3 linked regions of the Astyanax mexicanus genome follow. The protein of the gene in region 3 interacts with the protein of the main gene of each other region in a pairwise test. Links are inferred from orthologs where the notes say so. Each region holds a gene or a part of one and is shown on either strand. Other genes may lie near its edges.

Evidence for each region.
Region 1: the proteins of ube2na (region 3) and znrf2a interact in a two-hybrid assay, tested with the Homo sapiens proteins (4 studies listed by BioGRID). The link is inferred for Astyanax mexicanus from reciprocal best matches to the Homo sapiens genes UBE2N and ZNRF2.
Region 2: the proteins of ube2na (region 3) and mid2 interact in a two-hybrid assay, tested with the Homo sapiens proteins (2 studies listed by BioGRID). The link is inferred for Astyanax mexicanus from reciprocal best matches to the Homo sapiens genes UBE2N and MID2.

The regions. Positions count from the first base shown.
Region 1 is NC_064410.1:2,591,951-2,599,298, forward strand, and holds the start of znrf2a (E3 ubiquitin-protein ligase znrf2-like), read right to left. Parts: upstream 3,004-7,348; 5' UTR 2,509-3,003; coding exon 2,178-2,508; intron 1-2,177. Other genes in the region: mturn (maturin), read right to left, coding at 7,233-7,340. UniProt on the Homo sapiens protein: E3 ubiquitin-protein ligase that plays a role in the establishment and maintenance of neuronal transmission and plasticity. Ubiquitinates the Na(+)/K(+) ATPase alpha-1 subunit/ATP1A1 and thereby influences its endocytosis and/or degradation.
Region 2 is NC_064417.1:41,297,747-41,304,717, forward strand, and holds the start of mid2 (probable E3 ubiquitin-protein ligase MID2), read left to right. Parts: upstream 1-3,968; 5' UTR 3,969-4,255; intron 4,256-6,971. UniProt on the Homo sapiens protein: E3 ubiquitin ligase that plays a role in microtubule stabilization. Mediates the 'Lys-48'-linked polyubiquitination of LRRK2 to drive its localization to microtubules and its proteasomal degradation in neurons.
Region 3 is NC_064416.1:21,042,068-21,049,875, forward strand, and holds the start of ube2na (ubiquitin-conjugating enzyme E2Na), read left to right. Parts: upstream 1-4,796; 5' UTR 4,797-4,923; coding exon 4,924-4,953; intron 4,954-7,808. Other genes in the region: c1qtnf13 (complement C1q tumor necrosis factor-related protein 4), read right to left, coding at 2,465-2,492. UniProt on the Homo sapiens protein: The UBE2V1-UBE2N and UBE2V2-UBE2N heterodimers catalyze the synthesis of non-canonical 'Lys-63'-linked polyubiquitin chains. This type of polyubiquitination does not lead to protein degradation by the proteasome.

The sequences.
Region 1 (7,348 bases), on a different chromosome or scaffold from region 3:
AGCTCACAGACGCAGCATTGTGCTGATCCACATCACCCTAGAAGTGATGGGGGGATAGTGATATTCTTTTCATTTAAAAATAAACTACTGCAAAATCTGAACGCAATAAATATGAGTTTTATACATTCATACATTTATACATTCAGTAGAACACAAATAAATAAAAAATCTGTAATTTTTTTGCATAAAAATACAAAGTAATGCAGCAAAAAAAATCTAGTGGATATGAATTGCATATTAAGTGAATAAAAACTTAATTAAAATGGACTGCTTTCAAGAATTTTCGCAATATCACGATACAGAACTTTTTTTATCATGTCATAATTTTTGGTGATATTATTGCATATGATACAGTATTGCACACTCCTAGTACTGACTGTCACGGTATGTTTCTGCTCTAAGAATTTCTCAGTTCCTTTTAGGAGGACGTCGCTCATTCTTTATTTTAAAAGGCTTCTAAATCATTCAGGTTGATAAATTGTATTAAAGTGCTAGTCTGTAATTTTTGTATTAGAATGTGTAATTACACAAACCATGCTAAAAAGTACTTTTAAAACGTGCATTGTGATGCAGTCTTTATTCACCGTGAAATAACCTGGATTTAGTTATTTTAGCGAACTTGTTTATCTCTGATGCTCTCTTCAGTTCCAATTCTGATTTTATTTGGATTACGATGAGTGAATGAACAGACACTAAAGACAAGACTGAGTTTGCAGTTCTGACATCTCCATGTTCACGATAGCTCTTGTGTTAGCACCATTAGCAGCACCATGGTTGCTCAGGTAACCAGCAAAAGCTATTATAGTAAGAAAAAACGGTCCTGATTAAGGATTAATTTAGAGTCATGTTAAAAAAAGAAAGAGGAACTTAACACTGCAGCCCAAACAACAATAACCCAGAGGTTTAACATCCTTTTATTTCAGAGTGTTTAGATTGAAACTGCAAAAACAAATGCAACATTCTGGTATCTTCTGCTTTATGCATTTCCTCGGCTAATCTTTTATTGATTTAGAGCCTCAAATCTGCAGATTGTATCTGTAATCAACTCTGACATGTGCTTCTATGACCTTTGAGCAGAACAGACTCTTTATCTAACACTTTATCTTTATAATCATTATAATCACAATAATCCGTGTGTTCCTGCAGTGCGAGCTAGCTAACCTTATTAGGATCATCATGCTTTGTCTATATTCTGTGTTCTGTGCTAATATCTCAGTGCTCTTATTAGTGTTGCCATAGCTGCCCGACTAATAACAAGCCATGCTTTTGTTCCAATGTAAATCAAACCTTTTCATCAAACACAGGCAATAATATAACAATAAAGACTCTATTAGCTCTATAAACTAACCCATTCAAGCCCAAGAACCACATTTATATTAAATATTACCAAAACATGTAATTGGTGTAAAAGGATGATGACAAATGTTTTGTGATTGCATGTAATTGTATACTTTTTTTTCACATCAGAAATACAGTAGCCATCATTAAACATGTGTGCAGAGTATTTATGACTTGTGCTCGATATTTGTTATGCTAATGTGGATCCAAATAAAACTATAAAAACAATACAAGAATGAAAAAAGTGTGAACTGCAGTAAGTGAAAAAATAGAATAATATAAAATTGTTAAAAAACAAATAATTAGCTATATTGTATGGAAGCCCATTCTGACACTTAAAAAAGGGTCCTCAACCATGTCATAATTATGAGATACAAAGTCATAGTTACAAGACACAAAGTCATAATTTTAAGATACAAAGTCATAATTTTAAGATGCTAAGTCATAATTACAATATACTAAGTCATACTTATGAGATGCTAAGTCATAATTTTGAGGTACTCAGTCATAATTATGAGACACTAACAACATTGAGATACAAAAGTAAAATTTTACATACTAAGTCATAATTTTCAAAACGCATGTCATAATTGAGATAATACATCATAATTATGAGATGTTAAGCCATAATTACGAGATACTATGACTAAATTATAAGTAAATGAGATACTACAGTAAGTTTAATCATAAGATAGTACGTAATAATTATGAGATAATACCCCACAGACCCAATATCTTATAATTATGACTTAGTGGATGTCCCTTATTATTTGTGAAATTAAACCTACAATTTTACCATCTAGAAAAATCTAGTTATTTAGCCTAGCTACTTAACTCACCTCCAAGCAGGTGAGGGGAGAGGTGTGCAGGTAAGGAGCCTATAAGAAGTCTTGGACCGGACTGGTCCTGATCTCTATCCGGGTCTTCTCCGTGTCTCGGAGTCCCGCCGCCGCTGCTCGCTATAACCGCGGACTGGATCAGCGAGCCGGGTCTGCCGTCCGCGCCGTACCGCCCTCCCCGCTGCGCTGCCGGCTGGCTCCCCGCGCCGCCCGCATAGTACCTCAGCACGGCCGCCCTGCCGGAGCTGGCCGCGGTGGAGGAGGGCAGGTCGGAGCCGGAGTAAGCCCGGAGGCGGCCGTTGGCGGCCGGGCTGCTCTGTTTGGGTCCCATGGCGGAGTTTTATCTGTGTAAGTGTGTGTGTATGAGTGTGTGTGTTATCTCCAAGTTTTGTTTTGTTTCGTTTTTGCGCCGCTTTCTTCAGTTCAGCGGCGGCTGGACTGTCATGGCTGGCCGGAGTGTTTTTAGCCGAAGCCCGTTAGCGCTAGTTACTGAGTTCCGTGTTTAGTGAGTGAGATAAGTGAGTTCCGCGGCTCTCCGCTCTCTCCGCGCACTTGTTGCCGCTCCTCAGTCGTTAAACTTTCTTCCTGCAGGCCTCTCCACTCTTCCTGCGCGCTGTCAGCCCCAAACAACGACACAAAACCCCCGAAAACAGCCGCTCCCGCCGCCGCTAAACCAGGCTACATGACCCGCGGCGCTCTGGAGAATCACAGCGACCGTTGGCCTCCGCTAATAACAGCCAACCGAACCGGCTCGTGCAGCAACAGCAGCAGCCAGAGCGAGCCACGAGCGAGCGCGAGCCGCAGATTAGACAGCGCGTGAACGGCGCGCTTAAGCCCCTCCTCCTTTATCAGCTCCGGGTGACGTCAGTGCACTGGTTTGAGCAGCCAGATTTAACTTATATAGCTAAAAGATTATTATATGTTTTGTGAACTGTAATTATAAAAAAATACATTTATAGCTAAAAAAATATTTGGCAAACTAAAATTTTGCATCTGACAGACTACGCTACTTAATTTTTAAAGGGGATGATTGATGAGCCAGGTGTCAAAAGCTGTAATGTTAGTTGAGCAGTCTTATAATGCATCAGGCTTAAGTTTAAATAGGTCAAAATGTGAAATAATAACATTGTCTGGAAAAATATAAATAAACTATATAGCTAAAAATTTTGGCAGATGACACGTCCTTATTTTTAAGGGATGATAACCAGGTGTCAAAAGCTGTGATCTTAGTTGAGCAGTTCTCTTATGCATCAGGCTTAATATTAAATTTATAAACCTTAATGATTCATGCTTATTTTATGGACGTGTTGATGAAACCTTTGTGCACTTGTGAGTCTCTAAATTGTTATTGCTGAAAAGGAGGGAAATCACACCAGATACTAAAAGCAAAGGTTCACATACTTTTTCCACTCCCAAATATGTAATATTGGATGATTTTACTCAATAAATAAATGATCAAGTATAGTATGTTTAACTTTTTAAATGGGTTCTATTGTCTACTTTTAGGACATTAAGGAAAATCTGATGATGTTTTCGGTCATATTTGTACAGAAATATAAAACAATTATAAAGGGTGCACAAACTTTAAAGCACCACCATATAGAAACTGAAATGGAATCAATGACTGTATATAAGCACAATAGCGATCATCTTCACATTTTCATCATAGGCACTCCCTATAGTGAAGAAATTAGTGTTGACATCAGTGTAGAAGTACTTACTGAAACTATAGTGTTATAGAGTGTTGAATTTAGTTCAAAAGTTAGTGTAGAATTATGTATTGAAGCTAGTGTAGAACTGAGTAGAACGTTGAAACTATGAAGCCTTTTAAAATCTACATCTGTGGTCATTGAAGTATTATGTAGAGGTCATACGTAGCCTTATGAACATTGCCATTAAGTAAATGTTTTACCATTTTTCATAGCATTTTATTTACAAAGCAGAAAGTCAGAAAACTCAATGAGCGACAAGGACACACAGGAAGATCATCACCTCCACATGGTTTAATTTAATTTAGGACTTTTACACAAACCAGAGGACAAAAACAAAACGCGTAACAAAGCATGAGGGAAACAATAGTTCCAAACTATAAAATCTTACATCTTTAGGCAAAACCACAACTCATTTAAAAGTGACGTAATAAAAGGAGGTGTTGAAATCAAACGGGGGGAAAAAAAATCAATGCATAAAGCTTACAGCAATCCAGAACAAATTCTAAAGCTGGACAATCAAATAAATATGAATATAGAACAGCAGCTCTGACTAACCTCACGACAGACTTCAGTACATGTGGACCAATTTATCTCTATGCTGGCAGCACACTTAGCTTAGGGAGGAAGACGATATGGAAGCAGTGAGAGTGTATTTGTGTGTGTGTATATATGTGTGTGTGTGTGTGTATATATGTGTGTGTGTGTGGTGGTAGTAGGGGCAGCATTAGGCGGGCACTGAACATATGAGGTCAGCAGAATCCTGTCAACTTCCGTTCCTGCAGCAAGCGCAGTGTAAGCAAGGTGTCCACCAACAGAACGGGACGTACCGGACCAATCCTCGCTCACCTTCTTCACACCAAAAATACAGGCCTTTGCAAGTGCCGAGTCAGACCAGGCTCGGAGCCTGACATCATGAAGTGCTAACTGGTCTAGGATCAGATTCTCCTCAGTCAGCTCTGTTCTCATTTGCTGTAGGATAAGGAGAGGAAATTGTCCCCATACAGAACCCCCTTAACTTTGCAAAATACAGCTTCGCTGGATCACTGGAGGGTTCTGGACTACTTAAGCATGCTTATTGTACTGCATGCACTGAGGAACCAGCTGAGGAAAAGAAACAAGTGCCATTCATAGAGTACACGTTCAAGCATATCCCCTGGCTAACACGTGATGAGCAGAGCAGCATGGAAAAGAATGGAAGAGAAGCTGCTATAGAAACCAGGGCAAATGTCAAAAACTTTATGTAATGCAGAGACCAAGTTGCCAGTTTATTAGGTGCACCGATCTTTATTTTAAATGGTTCTTTTAAAAATGTCTTAGTACTGTTTTAGCTCTGGATCACAATCCTTTACATTTCTAACAATCCTAATAACAATGCAGATTAAGAGTGTCTTCACACCAGCACAATTAGTTCTGGTTAAAGTGGATTCTGAGATCAGTGAAGCTAATGGAGGGGGTCTCGGTCTGGTTCCAAACAAACTCATGAACGGTCCACTTGTGGTAAAAAATCAAGGTCCAGTCTCGATCCGACCAAGTTATCAAATATATTCCTTCTATATTTGAGCTACTCTGCTGATAAGATGCAGTTCAATCTGATATATTAGCTATTAGATAATGATAATTACCACAGCTATGAACAAAAAACACTGTCTCTGCTGCTGCTCCATGCTGTTTACACACTAAGAGCACGGTATGTGCAGCGTTCACTGCTCACATCTGAGCTACACGTCCCATTGAAAACACTTTAAAAGTTTAAAAGTTTTTTTTTTTCAGCGTGCTGTGTTAAAGCAGCTTCACCTCGCACAGATATACACACTGGAACACAGAATCTTCTCATTATATTTACTTTCAGACAATGTGCTCACGTGGTTTATTGTGAGTGAGCATTCTAGTGCGTTTAGGTTTGTGCCTGTGTGAAACCAAACCAAACAGAGGGAGAAACGTTGGCAGAAACGCTCCAAGATGTTTCAAATTGAAATCTGGGTTCCCCATCATATGATCTTTGGGACAATGGAGGCTTAACATTTAGAACACCAGCTTTTTTAATGACTGTGGTGGATTTAATACTCAGGTTGAGCAAGCATAAGCTTTTACCTTAACCCTCACTGTGCCCTGACCGCCCAACACTTCACCAACCTAGCTCCTGGACAATCTGGGCTATTCTCCAGAGGATGTAAGCTCCAGCCACCAATCAATCCCACCTGATCCGTGTAATCACTGCCTCCAAAAGAGCTGGATCAGTTGAATCGGGTGTGTTAGATTTGGGATGGAGGTAGAACCTAAAGGATGGTAGCTCTACAGGAGCAGTGTTGGTCACCCATTTGGTGTTATACAGTTCATTGACTCCCCTCAACTCCATCCATGAACCACTAATACACTGGGACCAACAACCATAGGACCTAATAAACTGGCACCTCTGTAAATTTCAATACAGTTAAAGGCTAGTGAAAAGAGGAGGAACCACAATTACAGCAAGCACTTCTATCCACTTCTATCCAAAATCCAATCACACCATCGTCTCTGCTGTGGGTGCATTGTGTGTTGAGTGTCTCAGGCTAAGACTAAGACTAAGATCTCTAGCATCAACTTTTCCCATTCACACCAGGTCCACGGTTCTGACCTTTGAAACCACCGCAACTGCAACTGACTGGTCTCAGACATTACACCTAGTTACGAGCAATCCATCAGGACTTTCATACATAAGCCCATACATTCAATACGACAATATCTATTCATCAATATCAATCGGTTGTTATGATAAGAGCCTCAATTCAAAGCAATCCATGTTAATGAGCCTTTACCATCTAAGATGAACAGCAGAAATGTCTCACGGGCTATAATAGCCATACGTAAAACAAAAATAAAAAAATGAGGGGAACGTAACTTAAAATAATGAAAGAATAGTTTCCATGTTCTGATATTTAAAAGGGCTTGAGTGGAAAGCGTAATATAAGTGTGCATAATAATGCAATAATATGGATTAAATGCCTTGCTGTTTAAAACAAGGCAGAAAAACGTAAAAAGTGGAAAACATAGCCATCTATATATTAAAGGGCATAATGGTGCAGTTTAGCAGGCTCCTGCTTTTGTGTGAAGGTGTGTGAGGGCGAGAGAAAGAGAGAGAAAAAGAGAGAAAGATAGAGAGAGAGAGAGAACAAGAGAGAGAAGGATATAGTGTTTCATAAAATAGTTTCATAAAAGAGTAGAGTAGTGAACATGGCATGGAGGAATAAGAAAAAAGGGAGGGAAGAAGAAACAGAGGAAAGAGAATCTCTGGCCCATTAAACAACGACCCCCCAACACCGGGCGTTATCGCGGGCCCACAGCCGAGCTGCCTGCCTGGGCATTATTGCTGGCTAACACCCATCTGCTGGTGGTCCGTCTCTGCTTCCTCCTCCACGTCTGCGTGGTACTGCTCATATGTGTCGTCGTCGATGTCCGGAAGACCCAGAAGCTGGAAAA
Region 2 (6,971 bases), on a different chromosome or scaffold from region 3:
GTTAGCCAGGTTGGATATTGGGCAACGTGCTCATGGCAAGGCGACGTGGCTTATCAAAGTTGGGTGTGTTGTGCCAGCATTTAACATTTCTCAATCCACTACTTTATTGACAAAAAAAAGATTAGTTTAATTTATTTAAAGCAGGATTTTTGCATTGACCTTTTTAAAAGGATTCAACATGAACTATTTTAAAAGTAAGTTGAACCATCAGCATTAAACAACCTCTTACATTAGTGTCTCCATCAGCTCTCTACACACATCACTCATACACCACTAATACAACCGTTTTAACAATAACCTTAAATCTAACACCTGTACCCGAATGTTCCTGTACTCGCTCACACACACATACACAGACACACACACACACACACACACACACACACACACTTAGGGCAGATACCTACCTCTCTCTCTCTGTCTCTTTTCTCTCTACTCTCTCTATCTATTACCACATAACATCAAACAAGAAAAAAAAATATATATATATCTTCCTTTTCTATTTCTCCATTCTTTTTCTGTAAATATTCAGATCTATTTGTTGTTGTTTCCTAATATTTGTATCTTGTTTGCTATAATCCGTTTTTTTTTCTTTTCCCTCCCCCTTTCCTTTTTCTCTTGTAGTTTACAAATTGTTCAGTTATTATTATTATTATTATTATTATTATTATTATTAATTCTCTTTTTTCTATGTATTATTATTTTTTCCCCCTTTTCTCTACTATCCCCCACATGAACCTAAATATTTTTGATTTCCAAACTTAAACTTTAGCAATTTAGTTAGGATGTACTGTACTTCTGGCTTAGTATAGACTCTAAATTACAATTTCAAACAAATTTAATTTCAAGTAAAATTTATTCTGTATGTTAACACCACTCTAATTCACAAAAAAAGAGATTTTGTATGATTTTATTTAATGTGGTGAGTTAATTAGTCTCTAAGACTATTAACAACTGAAACCTCTTGTCAATGACACCCACCGTCAATTTGTAGTCATTTCCCCATTGGCTACCACCTCTAAATAATTACAATTAAAAAATGTGCTGATATTGATTAAAGGTAGTTGATTTCATTAGTGCATTAGTGGGCACTTTGGTTTTTAGTCAACATAAAGTGTATTTATATGAGTTAAGAAAATAAAAACAGTTGTATATACGTATTTCAATTAAGTAAGGATAAAAGGCTCATCTTCTACTGATTTAGGTAAAAGCATCTGGCTTGTTGAGTCAACATATCTTTTTTCCCACAGGTCAGTGCAGGGTTCTTAAGCTTCCATGTGACATGGCAAAAGTCCTGGGACTAGTTCATAGTTCCTAGTACATTTTTTACAGCAATTCTATAAGTTATTCAGTGGTAAGTACTTAGACACTACTTTTTGACTTTTATTAAGTAGTTAAAAAGGGGAAAAAAAATATGTGTTTTTGTATGATTTATAGTACTTTGCCAAACTCTTGCAATCAATCCTAATAGTATATCACAATCTCATAATATTATACTGTAAAAAAGACAGGTTCAATTTGTATTATCATATTGTAAATGATTAGCTTATCATCACTTCATGAAGTAATAATTACTCTATCAATGATTTTCTCAGGCAAGTAATAGAGTATCATTTTTAGAGTGATTAAGATTGAGGCCCACATGCATCAAAGCATCTCTATAGTATATTCAGAGCCTATTACTCAAGTCCTTGAAGGTCCCCAGAGACAGGAGGAATGAGAATTTATCTCATGCAGATGCCTCTCAAGGGATTCCAGCCTTTTAGCTCTTTAAGCCCCTCTTGCCCTTTCATTTGACTTGGACTTTATTTTTACATCTCATCTGTTTACTTTACACTGCAGATGCATGCGTGTGTGTAATCAGCCGATGTGGGAATTATCAGCGATATTGAACGTGAATGCTAATGTGATCAGTGGCGTGCAGGGTTTTATAGAGTGCCGGAAGCTGTAGTATAGATTAAGCACAATATTAGACTCAGTGAAGAAGAGTGCTCCATCACTGAGGGTATTATCTTTAATGCACAGTACAGAGCGTGAAGTTACTCGGGCTGGAATCTTCCGCCCACAGTAATTGCCATTCCAAATTTTGCATGCAGTCAGAATTTACTCCCTCAGCTGCACTAGAGTTTCACAAACAGCCAGCACAGTGTCAGCCAGTGATTCTGATCCTGGTGCATTTTACACTCTGGAACTAATTCGCTTTCAAAGGGCTTTCATGCCCACGTTATGCATTCCAAGGAGACAAATGGTTGCACAAGTTATTTATGTGGAGATTTCTGAAGTTAAAGTTGTGTTAAATACCTACTTGTGCAACATTTGTTCTCTCTGAGTGCTTATATTATGGAGAAACAGGGAGTTCTCTCTCTCTCTCTCCATGAAAAAGTTCCAAGGAGAGATTTTCCACTTTAAAATCTGCTTGTAGTGGACGGGGTCCAATGTGGTCTAGTGCAGGAATGTGGTGCTCATTCCTGATCCATGTGACTTCAGCCTGTGCTGAGTGTTTTACAGCAAAACCAATCAGTCATTAGTTTTCTTGCTGTTTACACTGTAGTGGGCCAATACAATCCTATATAATTTTGAATATAGATACTATTTTATTGTACACAATTGTTTATAGGCAATAGTTTGTACAATACAAGTCAATTATATTAGATTTTCTGTATTGTGTTTTTTTTTACATTGTAATAATGTAATATATGTATGTACTTAAATGTACTTTAATAGGGAATCACTAGTTTAGTTTAAACCCTTCAATTGTTTTCCTTTCTAAACACCATGGATCTGTATGCTGGACAAGGACTTAACCTATAGACCATATTTTCCTTTCAGTAGAAAATCTCTATTAAAAATGCTGTTGACCTGCATGACCAAGTGGGTTGACCAGCAAGACCAATGTGGTTGACCAACATGACCACCATAACCAAGCTGGGTGACCAACATGACCACCAAGACAAAGGTGGTTGACCAACATGACCAGCAACACCAAACTGGTCGACCATAATTACCAACATGCAAAAGCTGGGTGATCAACATAACCAGCATTTTAAAAAGATGGTCGACCAGCACGACCAACATGAAAATGTTGGTTGATCAACATGACCACCAAGACCAATGTGGTTGACCAGCATAACCAGCATGACCAAGCTAGTTGACCAACATGACCGCCAAGACCAAGCTGCTTGATAAACACGACCACCAATACCAAACTGGTTAACCAACATAACCAAGCTGGTTGACCATCTTGACCATCTCAACCAATCTAGTTGACCAACATGACCAACTAAAAAAAGCTGGTCGATCAGTAACACCAAGTATCACCATGCTAACAGACCAAGATGACTGATGACCTAACTAGTAGACCAGCATTGCCAACAAAACCAAGATAGTATACCAACAAGACCAGCATTACCAAGCTTTTTAAACCAAATTACCAAGCTGATCAACCAACATGACCAGTAGACCTCCCAGAATCAAATGAAACATGAACTATGATGGTCAGGAGCTGGTTAACCCACTAAAACCTAACAGCATAAGATATGTTTTGCCTGGAAAAACGCTTTCAGTCACCTTCACCATCAAAAACAGGTTTAGAGCTTGCAAAACCTGCTACCAGTGGAGAGCAGTCATCCTAAACTGGCTGCTTGCTAATGGTCTGTGTAACAAGAATGCCAGTGGTTTGACTCCTGGGTCTCTAGTGGCATAGGCCACTGAACACACACACACACACACACACACACACACACACACACAGATAAACACAGCCCAGTGCTGCCTTCACATCCCAGTAAAGAATCAGCATCAGCATGTAGCCACAATACCACACTCTTGCTGGTCATGCTCCAGTGTTTGAGTGGGAGTCGGTGCAAATGTGTGTGTGTGCGTGCGCGCGCGCGCGTGAGTTTCGCGCATGTGTATGCGTGTGTGTGTATACAGAAGAGAGCTGGGTGAAAGCTCTTCCCGTGGGATGGTCACGTGTCCTCGGGGAGTGTGTGTTACTCTAGGAGCCTGTCGGAGGGGGAATATGGTCCACAGCCGAGCACGCGCGCACGGGGGCCAGTGAGAGCGCGAGAGAGAAAGCAGAGCGACCAGCTCTCCAGCAGGCGCCTTTTTTATTTTCACGACAGCAGCTGGGAGAAGCGCGCGAGGGGAGCTCCACGCTGCGCTCGCTCAACTTTCGGTGAAACGGCAGCGCGAGCCTCTACGCGCGTCTACGCTGGAGCGAGCGGAGGATCGTCCGTCCGTGCGCGCGTGTGAGGTAGGCGAGCTTTGGTTACGTTACGTACGCATGCATGGAAACGCGCGCGCGCGCGCCCCTGTTGTGTTGTAGCGTTTTGTTCATTGCTGGTGTTGTTTGTTGTTGTGGGTGAGTGAGCGTGCACTACGCTACGCTACTAACCCAGCTGTTGCACCTCGTGCCTACTGTAGCCTACGTATGTGTGAGTGCGTCAATGTGTGTGTGTGTGTGCAGTAGTAGCAGTAGTAGACACTACGCGTTTGATGCCATCTTTTATTATTAATGCCATTAATGATGCATAAGCTGTCTCTCTGCTCCAAGAATTTAAAGGTTGTAGTCCTGGTGCTAATCTTCTGTTTAGTACTGATCCAGCATCAGTCCACAGTTGTGGGCTTTAGGGTCTGTCTACACTGGTCTCTGAAGTCCTGCTGAACACAGATGACCTCTTAAAATGAATTAATTCAAGCCTCCAGATGTTTAGATGTTTCTTCAACTCTGCATGAGCCTGCATTTTCATATTCATGCTCCTCCTCAAGTAAATTCCGATTTAATGCCAAATTATATGTAAATGAATATGAAAGATAGAGCATTAATAATCAGGTTACTTCAGGTGACTCTGATTCAGTTCACCTGCTGGAGACTGGAACCTCTTGCAACTCCAGTACCAGTTAAAAGTTTTCCTACTTTGTAAATTAATACTCAAGTTATCCAACTTAGAAGGAATACAAAAGGAATCATGTAGTAAATGTAAAAGTATAGCTTTTATCTGGAGGGCTGTTAACTTGTGGTTTCTGATAAACTTATCCTGTTCAACAGAGGTAACTCCTGGTCTTCCTTTCCTGGGGCAGTCCTAATGAGAGCCAGTTTCATCATAACATTTGATTGTCTTTTCAATTACACAATTTTTATTGTCTTTAGTTATTAGTAGTTATTGATATTATATGGATTATAACATTACTCATACGGGGCTATTCACTGTATACCGACTCTACCACTTGACTACACAACTGATGCTCTCAAACACATTAAGTGAGCATTTGCATTAGTGCTGAATTGGCAATGAATGCTGGGTGTTTGCATTTGTTCTCATCAGCAAGTCACCAGATGATGAATTCTCTGTATTTAAAGAAGTAAAACTCGTCCAGGAACTTTAATGGTTCTTGGTAAACATATTCCTTAGATTTGAAATGCAACTTGAGAAGAAAATATGATGTCATGCAAAAACAAGAACACATAATAAGAAATGGCCAGACACACTCCACAAATCCCTACAGACTTTTATTTCCTTGTAAACACACTGGAGCATTAAAAAGCATTGGTTTGAGACTTTATCTTGCCTCAGCATATGTGTCACTGCTGAAAAGTAATCACATTGCAAAAACAAAATTTAAAAAAACTAATTTCTATGCAAATCATATTTTTTTCTTAGTCACAGCTTTTAATACATGTAATAACTGTTTAGTAACACTAACAATGCGTGTAAGAAACAGTGTATCTATGGGGGAAGTACAGTACAGATACAAATCAATTACATTACACACATCAACACTTGACTTGTATTTAATAGTGTAATTTGTTTACATTATATAGTGTGTTTATGAATTTGTACATGTAATATAGTATGTGTGAATTGTTACATGTAATATAGTTTGTGTGTGTGTTTTTTACATGTAGTATAGTGTGTGTGTGTGTTTTTACATGTAGTATAGTGTGTCTGTGTGTGTGTGTGTGGGTGTGTGTGTGATTTTTTACATGTAACATAGTGTGTGTGTGTGTGTGTGCTTTTTTACATGTAACATAGTGTGTGTAATTAGTTGTGTAAAATGTCTGTTTCTTTAACAGCTCTTGTCTGGTATAGAATTAGGGTCCTCATTGTTTTTATTACTAAAAATCATAATTCAGATTTAATCATGGTAAGATGGACAGAATGTTCTGCTATGTTTAACTGACACTGATGCACACATGTAATTACATACCATGAATGACTGTAATCAATATTTAACTGTGCAACCACACACATATATCCACACATGTGTCATCGCAGTATTCCCTGACTTACAGGGGACATGGAAAATGTATTAAGACAATATACTGTGTTTTTTTTTTTGTCCTGTGACATTCAGTCACAATGCAAAAATTCGAGATTCAACTGATTGAAAGTTTCAAAACCTATGGTTTTCTTCCCTGTTAAACTTAAAAGGTTATTAAAATGAGATTAGCTCAAATTAGTTTAAAAGCAACGATATATTAAATATATGTATCCATATATTAGATTCCATTTGGCACATACACATCCTACATTTGCTTTACTTTGCTAAGATTTGATTACTTTTTTTTTATTACGTGCTTAACCTATAATAAATTAACATTATACAAACCCTAATATAAACAAATTAATATTATGTTTAGTGGTTTGTTGATTGGTGCTAAATATATATGAAATGTTTTTTTTCTGCCTCTAAAAGCCACACAGTAAATTTGCCAGTGTTAAAAACACTTTTAGAGTTAAATTAACACTGCAAGTTTTTTATTTTATTTTTTTACACTAAAAGTGTTGACACTGGCAAATTCATTGTGCACAATACTGGAAATTATTACACAGGATTACGCTTGAAATAAATAATAATAATAAAAAATATGGGTGATATAGTTATAAAGGAGTTATAAAGAAGACATTTTGCAGACATTCTGCAAATGTGGGGAAATTCATTTTCGACAAGCAAGGCTTAATTGTTTC
Region 3 (7,808 bases):
ACTGAGACAATATATTTCTTTGAATACAGGGCTGCAAATCATAACAAAAACAAAGATAAAAAAACAAATCTTTAATAGAAGTCAAGAGTTAATTTATCCTAGAGTTTGAAGACAATGTAGAGAAAAAAAAATCCATGTTCAAATCAAGTAAAAATGTTAAGAAAAACAAAATGTAAAAAATTTACTTTTTTACATTTATGAAAAAAAAAATCATTAATTCATTTATTATTAAGATAATTAATTAAGATAAGCTGTAGTGATTTATTAAATTGTGTACACAAAACATCTGAAGGTGGTGCAAATTTATAAAACAAATTATGAAATTCATATTTACAATTTGTGTATTTACTCCGTTCAGACTCTACATCATAAATGCAGTAGTATAATTATTAAAAATTGTTTTATTGGCTTTCCAATACACAGCAATGCATTCAAACTTTCTAAAATGTCTCTGTAGTCATATTGCATTGACTAAAAAACAATAACCAAGCATCCTAACATGTTAGTTTGTAGAATGTAAGAGCAGGAATGTCTACACAAAATTATTTATACCTGTAGAAATTTTTTAAGCAAGTGTGAAAAAAGTTTGCGCACCCAGATATTATATCATTATGTGTAAAAAGACAAATATAAGACATAGACACAAACATTCTATAATCAAACACAACACTGCAGTGGCTTGTTGTACTAATCAGTAACACATTCAACTCACTGTTTAAAATATGCCAAATATTTTAATTACACTCGCAAAAAAATTCTGCATCAACAAAATCTTTTACACACCTGCACAAAACTATTTCACGCATACACAGCTGCAAATGCACATGCACATAAAAGGTAATATACAACTGCAGATGCTCGATTATTTATCACCCTCATTTGACTCCATATAAACACTGCTCCAATGTAAACTAATGAGTTTACTTTTTATGCATATTTAAAGGTGGAAAAACAGGATCTCAAGGGCCTTAACCTCCATCTACTGGCGAAGCACTGAAGTGGTTGAAATGCCATTCGGACGGGTTAGGAAGTCTGGTTTAGCCTTGTCAGACTACATTCTGCCTTTCATATCAAGTGCTCAGTCAAAGCAGTAACGCCTCTAATTCAGCTGGTATTGTCTGTTCACTCTGTGCACAGGCAGAAGGCTATAGATTAGGCCCTGGTTCATCTGCTCCTGTGTCCTGGAACAATGGCATATTTGGGAGAGGATGATGTGGGCCATGAGATAGCATTTTTTCCCTCCCTTTGCTGATAAGTAAAGATCCTGTTTGAAAGTAATACATGAAGGTCAGAAGAAGATGTTCTGAGGGTCGGTTTATGGAAAAGGAGTGATGAATTGTAATGAATTGTATAGATTGTGGTTGGAGTGTAAGACCAGACTGACCTGAACAAATAAATCTAAGTGCAATAGTGACAAAGTCATTACGCAATGCTGATGATTTATTCATGAAATTAAAATGTGCATCAGATTATGATGCTAAATATAAAATAACTAAATGTAATTACATCAATGTACATCAGAGAGACTTATGTGATGTGCAATCTGGATATAATATCCAATAAATTAGTTCAATATAATCGTATAGATTATGTAGCTCACTGTTCTTTAGTTTCTGTATCAAACAACTTGAATTTCAGTTTTATAAACCCTGAAATAGAAACTGGTGTGACTCCACAAGGAGTTATGATACCATCAGAAAATTAAAATCACATATTTCATAGCTTTTGCATGAAGATTAACAAGTAATAAGTAATGTACAAGTAACAAGTAATTAACAAGTAATAAGCCAATGGTTTTATGGGTTAATGTGTTGATTTGTTGTAAATACATTTTGAGAAAATACACACATAAACAAATACCTTTCCAGACTCAAATGTACCTACAACCCTCTATCTGAATGTCTCAGAGAGCTCTTTGGATCTGGTAATGGTGATACTACTCACATCAACACACTAGTCAAGAACCAACAAATTAAATTCAATATGTTTATGGGGTTTAAATATGACAGGCTCCCCTCTAGTCTTGTTCTAACCATTATAGTCATTCTAGCTATTTAAAAAAAATGTGGGGTGTAATACCTTTTACAACATAAATAATTTGTATTTATATTAATTATGTTTCACGTTTTTGTCCTCTTTTGTTTGTTCAGTATTGTTAAATCAGTTCTTTATGAGAAACTGCTATTATAATGTTTGCATTAGGTCTTCTCAGTCAACATTTTCTATTCAGAAAGTTTTTCTCTGCATCAGTTGACCGTGTTCTCAGCAATAAACCCAAAAAGCAAAAGCATTGCATGAACTAACTGTGGCCTAGAACGTCTGATTACTCAACTGTTCGACACTTTTTCATCTAAGGTGACAAAATACAAGTTAACACGCTGATTTGAATCTGTTGTTCTACCTATTATTTCCTTTTTTTAGCAGCAGCAGCAGCAGCAGAAGTGGTGATTCCTGTTCTACATACCTGTTCTAGGCAGTTGCAGAGAGTTCATGTCTCTCACCAGCTGTGTTCCTCTCCTCCTGCGAGCCTTTCCAACACTCAGCAGCCACAGCACTGATAACCAACTATTTTAATCCTCCTGCGCAGGACCAGCTCATCCAAGATCCAGTGCCCCCTCCCTCCAAAAGATTTCTCTTTCATTCACTCACTCACACACACACACACACGCACACACACTCACACACACACACACACACACACACACACACACAGCACTACCTCAGTCTCTCACTTTTGAACCACAAATAAAAAAAAATAGAAAATTATAAGAGTTTAGAAGACTCTATGCTCATTTTTTGTTCTGAGGTCATGCAGATCTCAGGCCACCTTTAAAAAAACATGTTTAACTTTGTTACATCAGCTGAGTACTTCATGACGTTTCCTCATTTGACCCGGACTGTAACATGATTTGATTTTGATCTGGTGACACATTCCAAAAGTTCCTCAATATAGAATTATACACATCTGTGCCGAGTTAACATCTTTACGGGAAAAGGAATAACAACATTTAACTTTCAGAGGAAATCAATCTAAAAAGATTTTACTTTAACAGATTCTCATCATGTCTGTTACATGTCTGAAACAATTTAAACTGCTGTACACAATCATGTAATTTAAAATGTTAGTTATAACTATAAAATAAATTGGAAGAATGCTAATTGAGTTGCTGATTAGGTAATAAACAGCCACAGCAACATAGAACATTTAGAATTGATTGTGGAAGTGGATGTTATTCAGTTGTTAATTGCATCATTAGTAGCCATAGCAACATAGAAGAGTTAGAAATGAGAACTAATTTAGCAATATAGAAATTCCTGCAAATGGACAGACTTTGAGATGTATTGAGTGATTAGAGTATGGGGTAGGGAATGGGCTGGGCCATATGTGTAATCCTAATTGTTTTGTCCTCTTTGTGTATTATTTCACTTTAAAAAATGAGGAGGAAAAAGTTGCGGGCAAATCTCCCTGGGATTAATAAAGTATAGCAATATGAACAGCTAAATTAAAACTAGTTTACAGTGTGGTTTTCAGTAAAAAAATATTTTATTTTATAAAAATAAAAAAACTTTATATGGACTAAAGTAATGAGATATCTGCTTTTTCTTTTTTTTTTATGCCAAAATTCCAGCTCAAGAACAGCTGGTCATCCAGAAAAAAAGACATATTCTGTGTTAGTCAGGAGTTACTTTTTTCTTTTAACATTTGTTTATTAAGCAGGAGTATAAATGTATTCAACACAAATATGTAATATCTCACAAACAATAAACACACCCTCCCTGCCGATTATGTCACATTTCCATTTTTTTTGCTACTTTCCAAGTATTGTAGAAGGGGATGTCAAGAGCTATTTTTAAGCTAGTCTGCCAGCATAGGGTATGTTTTTATCTGAATGCCCAGCTGGTCTTGAGCTGAATGTTTTAGCAGGATTGTTGAAGAAACTGTTTCTACTGGGGGAGGGGGGGGGGGGGGGGGTTGGGGTGTGGTGTGGTGTGGGGGGCTTAGAGATGCTTGGGCATTGGTGGGGTGTGCTGGTTGGTGATGGGTGATGGGCAGCCTCCGCTCTTGATAGCGTTTCTTTTGGCCGCGGGGCTGCTCGCCTATGTGGCCTACGCTGAGAGTCTGAGGTTAGCCGAAGTTTAAGGGTTAACTTTACCTGGCAATCTATCTTTGTGAGGGTAAGGCAGGTAGGCGATTTCTGCTGCAGTGCTGTTAGCTAATCAGAAGCTATATGTTTGCATGTGTGAATATTCATGAGCAAGAGCCGAAATCCTGTCTTTGTTTAGAGACCAACTTAGTTCAGTTAAACAGAAACACTAGAGCGCTCCGTTTTTTTTTAGTTTTTTTTAGTTTTTTTTAAACGGCTCACATGGCTTTCACTCATAATAGACATTTTAAAATGAACTAAAAACGATGGAATAAGACATTTAATAAATAAAATTATCATTTAAAATTGCCTTTTTATATTTACTCAGTTTATCTATGTCTGATTTGTTTGATAATCAGAAACATATCAGAATGACAAAAAGGCAAAAACAAAAGGGGGGGGGGTCAGAATTCTTTTTTCATGCTACTGTATTTTTTTTACTTTTATTGGATGGGTCTTGTGCTCTCTCCATTATATATAAAGTGACTAAAGCCTTAAACAATAGTACAGACTGTAATTGACTGTTTGACGCTGAGACGTCGTTAAATGCGTGCTGGTCTCTGCAGGACTGAAACGTGTGCGTGTTTTCAGGCGGAATGAAGGAGTCAAATGGCGCTGGACTGAGCGGGTGGGTAAAACTACATGTTCCAGGGTGAGCCGGGTGTGCGGCGGCGGCGGAGTGCTGGAGAGTGACGCAGCGCTGGGGGGCGTGTTCACTGCGTCTCTGAGAGGAAGAGGCACCGAGAGACGAAGCTAAAAAACCCGCATTCAAGACAAGATGGCAGGATTGCCCCGCAGGATCATCAAGGTAACTGTGAGGCGGATTTTCTGCGAGTAGCTCGTTCCTGCTTCTTGAATCGGGAAGCCGGGCGAGTCCGACACGGCCGCGGGGCGCAGCGCAACGCGGTGCGGCTGAGAGCGAGCAGGCGGGCGGCTGGGCTGGCTGGCGTTGTTTGCGCCTGCTGCTAGTGTTTGTTAGCCAGACACTTCCGTTCACCTCTCCGCTTCACCCGAATATGGGTGGGTTAAAAATACACGCACGGCGGGCTGGGAGCAGCGAAAATGGCGGAGGCTCGTCTCGTGTGCATAAACGTTTAAAATATCAGCTAAACGCGACGGTAGCGAGCAGATTACCGGGGTTTGAGAGAGCGAATAAGCAAGGTAGCTTGCTAACTTAAAACTGACGGTCAGGCTAGCTAGCTAGCTAACTGGCTAAGTTAGCATTAGCTATCTAAGATAGGTTAGCTAACTGACTGCTGCCATTCATCGATTGAAGCCTAGCTAACGCTAGCTGTGTGGCTAACAGGGCAGTAATATACTTAGTTAGCTAATCATAATCTTAGTTTGATAACTTAGAGTTAATAATCTTAGCACAAGGGTGCTTTAATGTGCAATAAGGTCGCATATGAACACACAGTAAATGAGCCACGGCCTCTTAAATGAAAGTAATCGCTAGTAGTTAAACCCCGCTTCGTGTACCGCCCGCTCTGTAGACCTAGCTTAGCTTATCTTAGCATAGTCAGCTAGCTAGCCAGTTTTAGTAGCTATGCAGCTTTTTCCGCGCTAGGCCTTAGCTAGCTTAGCTAACCTAACGCTAGCTCGAAACTAAAAGTAGCCGAATGTCATTGTAGGTGCCTTGTAATGTAGCTAGCTAGCCAAGCTAACTAGCTAGCTAGTTATGTCTGAGCGAATATAAAAGCACAGCGCCTTCGTTATTTCAGTAGCTAACAGCAAGTTGAGAATCACCACAGCATTAGATTAATTAGCTAAGCTATAGGTAGCTAACTAAGTGAAATATTACATTAATATTCAGATCGAGCTCGTGGCTATTGACCGCTCTACGAGCCTCTGCAGACAAGCCTCTAATGGCTGGTTTATAAAAACCCGTCAGATGGGGTGCCTCGTTTCAGATTTGTCTCTTGGAGAGAAAGATCACCACCAGCTCAACACCGCTCCACATTTATTCTTAATGTTTTTAATGCTATAATATAATCAATAAGTCTGTATTGGTATAAAGGCGTGTCCTGATGCTAGTGTTGGCCTGGTCCTTACACCCATGAGCTGCTAGCTCAGTGTCAGCAGGCCTGATGTTCCTGTGCCGCACCTTCATTTCCACAAGCCTCCAAAACAGGTTTTCTCATAATCTGATCTATCTGATTTTTTTTAACATAACTTCAAAAATAACACAATGATATCACGCTTCAGAACAGATGCAACACATTTTATGCATGAAGGTTAACTGGATGATTAGACTGATAAGCTAGTTAAATAGCTAGTATCACTTTGTTAGCCTTATTACAGAGGCAGTTCAAATATTGCAATAGACCCTGATAACTACAGAAATGGCGCAGTTACACACAGTTACAAAATAAAAACCGTGATATTATAACATTTTTGCATAGGTAAAAGCTAAAAAAGAGTTGCAGATTGTCTAAAGGGCAAGTATGATTGTGTGATTTCGCTGTCAACAGTATAAGCAGATGCATCGTACAATCTGCAGTGTGACGTGTATGAACAATATGAAAATGAAATTAATTAAAATGTAATGGATTAAAGTACCAACAACAGTCAAGTGAATTGACTTAGTCTTAAATAGTGTCCTGACACATGAGTTTTATGTTTTAAGTCATGGCAAACAGGTCACAAAAAAAATCCTAAAGTGTCTGTTAATTAAAAATATCTACTTTGCTATCTGCATGTTCCTCTTATTTTATTGTATGCTCTTTGTTCAGTCCCCATGCTCTTGTAGCAGTAATTGGATATTGTGTATGCACTGAGCATCACCAGTATTGTGGTCTGTTGGTGTGGGTGTGGGAGGGCTGGGAACATGAAGACCTTAAGCGTGAGACTGGGATTGGGAGCCCCTCTCTTGTCTGTGTTTTCTCTGCATGGTTTTGTCCATGGACTATCTGAAATATTTCAGGAATTTTCCTCTCTTGAGGGTATTTTGAATAAAGGAACAGGAACCTGCCAACCACCAAATTCATTTATTCATCAGTGTTGTGGGGATGAGCAGTGCGGCTGTATGATAGTGATATCTGTCTCTTTTTTTGCGTTATCTTTAGTAATTAATGCAGATGAGGTTATGTTGAATTTGTGTGATGACACCGATTTATCAAGGGCATTTACACTGTACCCTTAAAATATTTTGCATCACATTTTGACCTGTAATCATGCAGGTTAAAACTCTACTAGTGTGCATAGATTGATGAACGTAATGCAGAAATTATTGTCGTCTGACTATGATGCATGCAAATGAGCTACAGGAGCTGGATGCCATTTTTTTCAAGTTTAATAGGCCAGACTAAAAGTTGTGATTTTATTATTTTGTTTATTTAATACTTATGTAGCATAAAATAAGCTTTCCCATTTTTTTAAATATTTTTGATTGTCGTCTTACATAAAACATGACCTATGCAAGTGTGTTTTCAGTGTTTGTAGACCTTGATGCTCAGGCTGCAAATAATTTCCAATACCTGCAGATATATGGTAACAGAAAAAATGTTCGAAAATTCTATCTTAATACAACAGGGAAATAAGCATGACAACTATTTAATGTAAAGTAGTCTTATGCGCTACCAAATATGTATTGGCCAGTAAATGACTACATGTTTTCTTCATAAGTTTCATACGGCATGTTTTTTTTTATAAAATCTGGTTGCT